2 linked regions of the Sus scrofa genome follow. The protein of the gene in region 2 interacts with the protein of the main gene of each other region in a pairwise test. Links are inferred from orthologs where the notes say so. Each region holds a gene or a part of one and is shown on either strand. Other genes may lie near its edges.

Region 1 (4,228 bases), on a different chromosome or scaffold from region 2:
GGGTGCAGCCCTAGAAAAGACAGAAAGACAAAAATAAATAAATAAATAAATAAAAGTAAAAATAAAAAACAAAAACCCAAAACCAAACCAAACAAATATGAACTTGTTGAATACTCTTATCCTTTAAGTAAATATTACTATCAGCAGTTCCATTTTACAGATGATGAAACTGAGCCAAAGAGAAGTCAGGTAACTTCCTCAAGGCCATCTAGGTAGCCAGATGGTGGAGCAGGGATTTGAAGCCAGGTAGTCCAGAATCCACGTTTTTAACTGTATTATGCTTCACTGTGATAGAAATTTTGGAAAATAAGCAGAAACATACACAGGAACTTGTACTAGCACCACTGAGCACACCTTGCTGTAGCCTTCCCGTCTTCCATATGCACATATTATATAGTATACAATATACTTAAAAAGAAAAGAATCATAGGAGTTCCCATCTTGGCTCCGGAGTTAACGAATCTGACAAGCATCCACAAGAATGCAGGTTCAATCCCTGACCTTGCTCAGTGGATTAAGGACCCACTGAACAAGGCCACTTGCCATGAGCTGTGGTAGGTAGGTCGCTGTGGTAGGTAGGTCGCAGATACAGCTCGGATCTTGCGTTGCGGTGGGTTGCTGTGGCGCAGGCCAGGAGCTACAGCTACAATTCGACCCCTAACCTGGGAACCTCCATGTGCCGCGGGGTGCGGCCCTTAAAAAAAAAAATCATATTTTTTAGCTTGGTCTATAACCTTCCTTAAGGCCATTTCTTGTGTCTGTACCCACAGCTTTACACCCATTATTTTTAAAGGGGCCTATCATTTTGTGTTATCGAAACATTATTCATTTAGGCAATGTTCGACATTTAGACTGCTTCCAATTTTTCTCCATGAGAGTTCTGCAAGAGGCAGGGGGGTGATATCCTTTTTTAAAAAACACTTTTTTAACTAAGTCAGCTACAAGCTGCAAAATCAACTTTAAAAACGAAAACCCAAAAGAGACAATCTGCCGCTCGCGTGCAGGATGGGGCAGGACCGAGAAGCAACCGCCGGGTCGCTTCCCGCTTTGCCTTTGTCTGCCCGCCGCGCGAGAATAAGTAGAGCCGGGGCGAGGGACTGCAGAAGCCCGCGGGTACCACTACGCATGCGTGGAAGAGGCGGGCGGGGGAATGAGGGAAGCGGTGCACAAATAAGGTCGAGAGACAGAAGCAGCAAATAGCGCAGAGGCGGGGTTTCCCGTCCCTGCCCAACCTCTAGCTCCGCCCCCCTACCCGGCCCGAGCTTTTTATTGGTCAGATTTGTTTAGCCCCATTGGCCCTAGAGCCAAAGGACCGGGTCTGCCCCAAGATATGCCTGCTTCCTGAGCCGCAGTAAGAATGGCCAATTGCCATGCCGCTTGCAGGCATATGTTTAGGACATACCCGTGGGGCTTGAAGGGGCTTTGTGTGGCAACTAAAGCAACTGAGAGTTCGACGACCAGTTTCGGAGATGCCACCGAAAGGAAAAAGCGCATCGGGAAAAGGGGGGAAAGGTAGAGCAGCCAGAGCAGCTGAGGAGAATGGGGTCGGGTGAAGAGCGAGGGAGCAGACTGGGGATTCCCGGGATCTGGGACGGAGGCAGCGGGTGGCTAGTGACTAGAGCACTGACCAGGAAGTGATATAGTGAGAATTATAGTGATAATTGTTGGAAGCAGTGTGGACTTCTCAGGAAAATTTTTATTTAAAAGCATGGGGGAGTTACCTTGTGGCTCGGCGGGTTAAGAATCAGGAGTTGTCACTACAGCGGCTCGGGTCGCTGCTGTGGCACGTGTTCGATCCTTGGCCTCAGAACTTGCGAATGCCGCGGGGGTGGGGGGCAAAAAATGGGGATTAGATGGTACATAGAAGAGGATTACGAGAAAGTTTGAAATTTTGATTTTGTTTGTTTCTTCACAATGGGCAAAACTTGGGAATGAGGCTGACAGATCCAGTAGGGTTTGAGAGGGAAAGGTACAGAGGCGTGAGACTTAGGAGAAAAACGGTGGATCAGTTATTCTTGGAATAGGAGAGGGTCACAATATGCTTGAGGTCACAGGGAAAGAGATGAAGATGGATGTGATTGTGAAAATTGGAGCCAGAGAGGAGGAGGGGTGGAGTTTCTAGGAGATCAGGTTTAATGACCTCAATATTTTAATAAAGTGGAAGGTAGGGGTAGTTTTTAAGACTCAGGAGGCAGGGACGGAGTAGGGGTCTTGAAGAGAGTGGTAAAGGTTTGAAATTGTCGTTGGGATCATGGGAGAGGGGATGAAACATTAATAAAAGTGTCGCCTTCAGGGCTGAGAGCCTGAATAAGACTGAAGGCCATGACTTTGTAGAGGACATAGCACAGTCATGATTTACTGAGTACCATATAACTGACACAATACAGGACTGAAAAGAGCTAGGTTGTAGCCTTGAGCCAAAGTTAAGATTTTGTTGGACAATGATAACAGAAGAAGAGCAATGTAAGGGAATTACAAGTACCAGTGGAAACGCAGTTCAGATGATCAAGCATGGGATCCAGAGTGGGAAGGGAAGGAGAAGTCTGTTAGTCTAGGGGAACATAGCAGGATAAAGGGATTGAGTGGGAGAGTGGTTTTTGTGGAATTAAAGGGCCTGCGTTGTGGGAATGAGGCATGAGAAAGCTTGGAAGGACAGGAAATTGAGCCAAAGACTGAACCACTAGTTCTGAGTGGCACAGTTCCATCGTGTGCCCCTGGGAACAGGCAGCTTGGAGTAGAAGGCATGGACATTTGGGATGGAGCTCCAGAAGTGCGAGGTTAGGCTGTTGGATGATTCCTCTGCATAGGTGGTAAGGTCATCTAAACTCATGGCAGGAGTGAGGGTGGAATGGAAGCTTGAAGTTGGTGCCAGAGTCCTCAGTCAGAGCCAGTGAGCTGGCCGTCAGAAGATGATAGCATCGAGTAGGGGAGAGGATGGGATAACTGGAAGGCATTATTGTTCTAGTGTCAGTGTACAGCAGACTCACTTAAGAATTTGATGTAATAAAACTCCTGTGGCCGTAACATTCTCCTAGCCATTTGGTGGTCAGAATTTTGGGTTTTCAGTTTGGTTGAACATTTATTGAACAACTGTTGTATGCTAGGCAGTGGAGATCCAAGACAAGTAAGATGGAGAGTCCTGAATAAAACTTTTCAATGGCTCCCTATTACTCCTAGGATCAATTCCAATTTCCTTAATGGGGCCCAAAGACCCGCATACCCTAACCCCCAGCCACCTCCCCTGGGCTCATCTCACCCACTCCCACCTCAGATTTGGCTTCATCCATAGTCTTCTACACATACTGCACTGTTCCCCCACCCTGAAGCGTCTCCCCGCCTTTGTTCTTTCTTTGCCTGGTCAGCTCCTACTCATCCAAGAAAACTTCCCTGACTGGCTAAAATATCCCTCTTTGCTTCCACAGCCACCTGTCTGTAGAGCATACCTCATTCTCCTGAAGAGATCTGCTTTGCATAACTTTATATAACCATCTTCCCAGTAGTATATGAGCTCCCTGAGCAAGGGAGCTTGTTCATCTTTATGTCTTTGCCTGGAACTTAGTTACTTAGGAAATGTTTATTGAACTGAACACTTAATCCAACAATAGTTCTTAGGAACATCAGCCTCCAACAGTAAGTATGCTGCCATCAGTGCAGAAGTTGACATAGTAGCAAAATGACACAGTAGTAAAATGTAAAATGCTGCCAGTGGTTGTTAATCTGAATATCAGTAACTTTTCTTTGGAAGGTATCAATAGGCAATGTAGTAGACTCCAAGAGTCTGGACATGAATGTATTGTTTATCCAAATCTGGATGGTGGGAAATTTGATCTTTAAAATACATTCTTGGAGATTCTACTTATTGGAATTGTGAGTACTCAAATACATGGTTGCAGTGCTTATTAGAAATCTCCCAAGAGCTCAGTGGTTTGCCCTTAGAGGGCAGGATTTCAAAGTGGATGCAAGGAATCCAGGCTGGGCTTTAGGTGCTCCCATTCAACTACAGCACACTTACTTGTGTATCCATTTTCTGTGAAGGGTTTATGTAGGGCACAAATTTCCTGTTTGAAGAGAGGTGAATCATAGATTAATTTAGCTTCATGAAGTAAAGTGTCTACTGAGTTCCCTTTTGAAGCTTAGTGCTATGGTGGAAGTATCAACTCCTGTTATGTTGAACTTCTCTGTAAATAACAAGTTTAAATGAGTACCTGTCATCTCTTCTCTAAAGGAA
Region 2 (3,605 bases):
AGCACCGAAGGCCCTGACTGTGGCCCGGCCTCTGCCGTGTGGGGCTCCCGTGACTGTTCAGGCCAAGAGGGGTCTCCTCCTCCATCCCGGGGTCGCTGGGGCCGGTTCAGGAGGGCCCGGGACCGCTGTCTCTGGACACTGACGGGCTCCCCCACTGTTACACTCGGAGGCAGTTCAGCCGTTCCTCCCCGTGTGCAGGGGCCACATGTGCCAGGCGCAGGGAAGCAATGCCCACATGCCACCCTGCAGGTTGGCGATGCATGTGCCAGTGGTGGGGTGAGGCCCCAGCACAGTGTGCAGCCGACCGCTTTGGAAGCCTTGCGCGGCATTGAACCCCTGGGTTTCAGGGACAGAAACAGCCGAGGCCGTGCATTGTGTCCGTGCAGGTGTGTCCCAGGCTGCCCTTTGCTGTCGCGCCTGGCAAGAGGCCCGCCCTGGAGGGGCTGCTCCTGGAAGCTCTCCTTGACCTGGTGGACAGGTACTGGAGTGGCTGCAGATCGCTGCATGGCAACGAGCTGTTCCTGGGTGAGTCGAGGGCCAGCAGCCCCACTCTGCATGCAGGTGCTCGTGCCCTGCTGGGTTGTGGTCCCCGTGCCTGCGCTGCAGGGACAGTCCTGCTTCTGGGTCCTCCCAGGCAGCAGCCACAGGGAACTTCTCACGGCCGTGGCTCTTGTCTCCCACCTGCTGGCACTCCCTGGGTGTTTGCTTGTCCTTGCTCTGGTTTCGGTGGGGATTGCAGACCTGAGGAAGTTGCTGCTCCAGATCCTCAGAGCATCTGACTGAGTGCAGAGCCCTGGACGTACTGAGGTTTTGCTGCAAATGACTTGCGGCCTAGACCCTCCCAGAGGGGACCTGGGGTTGCTTCCGCCTGGTGCCTGCTCGGGCACACGGGGGACCTGCGTCCAGAGCCAGGGTGTGGGACAGGGAGACGCTTCGTCCCCAGGGCCACCTTCTACAGCCTGGTGCAGCTTCACCTGTCCCAGGAAAGGAGGGACCTGCCAGCTGTCCCCTTTCTAGCAGACCCTGGGCTCCGCCTGGACCTGTCACCTCAGCCCCACCAGAGCCTCCTGAGTGTCTGCTCCGAGTCTCGGCCCCTCAGCTTCTCCTTCTGGAATCAGGGTGCTCTGAGAAGCGGGAGCCCCTGTAAACCCACACCCTCCCAGGGCTGCAGCAGGACTGGTCTGCCTTCCCAGTCGGGGAGCTGCCAGGCTGCGCGGTGCTGGGGAAGAGCGTTCAGACAGACCGTCTCAGCCATGCTGTTCCCGGGCCGCCCTTTTCTCCGGATAGAACAGGTGCTCTGCACCTGCTGGTCATCACCCGGGGCTGGGGCTGAAGAGGCTGATGAGGTCATTTCAGTGGTGTCTGTGTCCCTTTCCAGTCTCCACGCCGGTCCCTGTTTTCGAGGCATGTAGCCCATGTTACTCAAAATGCACTGAGTGTGTTTTGTTTACACGCCTTCTTTCGACGTAAATGCTGTTTTTGATTCTTCCAGCTCAGGCACGACACATTTTGTCATCTCTTCAAGAAGTTACAGCTGCTCAGGACAGTTCAACCACTGTGAGTGAAGAAATTGGCTACCTGACTCTGGAGAATAAGTCTTTGCACAGTCACCTGGGTGAGCTGCAGCGGCAGTGCGGTGCGAAGCTGAGCGAGGTGGTGCTGGAACTTGGCAGCACTCGGAAGGAGATGGTGAGCCCCTCCTGTTTGTTCCTTTTGCTCACCCAAGGGGCAGAGTGAGGGTGGCTTCCCCCGCGGCTGTCGGGTACAGCTCTGGGCCCCCCCTGCCGCCGCCCCCCCGCCCTTCTAGGACCCAGCCCCCTCCCCCCACGCTTTCCCTGCCCCTGGCGCCTCCAGCTGTTCCTCAGAGGCGCTGCCTACCTGCCGCTCCACAACCCCATGTGACAGCGACTGTGGGTGGCAGCATCACCACAGGTCCCAGTCTTGGCTCTCCTGGGTCATCTGCTCTGAGAGGCCAAGCGGGAGAGACGAGAGAGGGTGAGGCTGGGCTTGAGGCGGAGTATCTGTGACCACAGTCTCCCTGGCTCAGGCCCCCAGAGCACTGGGGAGAGAGGTCCCTGTCAGCTGGGTGACCCTGGGCCCCTCCTGCCATCCAGCGGGCATCAGCCCAGCATGGGACCCAAGAGGTCCTGTTGCACCGGGGGAAACTCCGCCGCAAGGTGGCGCCAAAGGGCAGCCAGAGGGCCTCCGCGGTGAGCCCGCTCCTTCCTGGCAGGTCGCCTCGTCCTGTCCTGCGTGACCACCATGGGCCCATCACTCGTAAGTGCCTGTCCTGCGATGGAAAAAAGGTCTCAAGCAACCTAGCTTCACACCTGAGAAACTAGAAAGTAGAAGAGACTAAACTCAGAGTAAGCAGAGGGAAACAAATAATAAAGATCAGAGCAGAAAGAGAGAGTAGAAAAAAATCAACGAAACTGAGCTGGGTTTTGAAAATATACAAAAATCAACAAATCCTTAGACTAAGGTTTGAGAGGAGACTCAGAATCCGAAGTGAAAGGGAGATGTCGCAGTGGGAGCCGCAGAAATAAGAGGGTCGAGGAGTGGTTGTACCCAAGCGTGTCGGAGAGCCTAGAAGAGGGATAAACTCCCGGAGACGTCAGCTGCCAGGACCGTGTCAGGGGGAGCTGACACCTCAGCAGGCCAACAGCGGATTGGCTAGTAAGCCACCCCTTCCCAAAGAAGAGCCAGGAACGGACGGTTTCACGGCCGAACTCCACCACCATGCAGAGAACTGATACTTACCTTCCTAGACGTTTCCCACAAAACAGAGGGAGAGAGAATGCTTTCCGACTCCTCTCCCACAGCCAGTACTGTCCTGATGCCAAAGCCGAAGACACCGCAAGACACGACTGCAGGCCACTATCCCTGCTGGGTGGAGAGATACGATCCCCAACACAAGACAAGTGTGCCGAAGGCAACACATGAAAAAGATGATACGCCACCGCCAAGGGCACTGTCCCCTGGAGTGCCAGCTCGGCTCAGTGGGCACAAACCAGCGCCACGTTAAACACGGGAGGATACAGACCTCACGGTCGGTGCAAAGCATCCGACAAAGTTCAACACGTGCCCACGATTAGAAAAGAAAACCCACTCAAAATCAGTATAAAAAAGTCCCCAACGCAGTAAAGGCCGTTGACGAAGAGCCCTCGGCTTTCCTCGTGGCCAGCGTGCCCCCAGCATCCAGGGCCAGGCAGGGCTGTGCGCTCCTGCAGCTCCTCGGCACGGCGGGCCCGGAGGACCGCTGGCTTCCGCGTGGCTGTCCCAGCTGGTGCTGCGGTACGCGGATGCGGAGCTGCAGGCCTGGAGAGCTGACTGTAAGTTCTGCGCAGGTTTTAAACTGGAGCAGAGTGGGCGCCCCCACCCCCACTCCAGGTTGTTCAGGGGTCAGCTGTCGTAGCAAGAGCAGGCAGACAAGACAAGGTCGAAGCACCCCAGTCGTGAAGAAGTGAGAGGATCTCTCTGTCGATGACGTGGTCATTGATGCGGAGACACTGAAGACGCCGCAGGAGAAAAGGAGAGCAGACAAACCTGGTGAAGGGCCGGTTTCCAAGTCGACATGGCAGGAAGCATTCTTACTTCTTTATATC

What was found. The genes of interacting proteins can lie anywhere in the genome.
Region 1: the proteins of CEP72 (region 2) and PIN4 interact in binary tests that used the Homo sapiens proteins (3 or more experiments, as listed by UniProt). The two-hybrid records come from large-scale screens. The link is inferred for Sus scrofa from reciprocal best matches to the Homo sapiens genes CEP72 and PIN4.

Annotation. Positions count from the first base shown.
Region 1 is NC_010461.5:58,068,395-58,072,622, forward strand, and holds the start of PIN4 (peptidyl-prolyl cis-trans isomerase NIMA-interacting 4), read left to right. Parts: upstream 1-1,363; 5' UTR 1,364-1,469; coding exon 1,470-1,512; intron 1,513-4,225; coding exon 4,226-4,228.
Region 2 is NC_010458.4:79,563,714-79,567,318, reverse strand, and holds part of CEP72 (centrosomal protein of 72 kDa), read left to right. Parts: intron 1-386; coding exon 387-525; intron 526-1,492; coding exon 1,493-1,689; intron 1,690-3,605. UniProt on the Homo sapiens protein: Involved in the recruitment of key centrosomal proteins to the centrosome.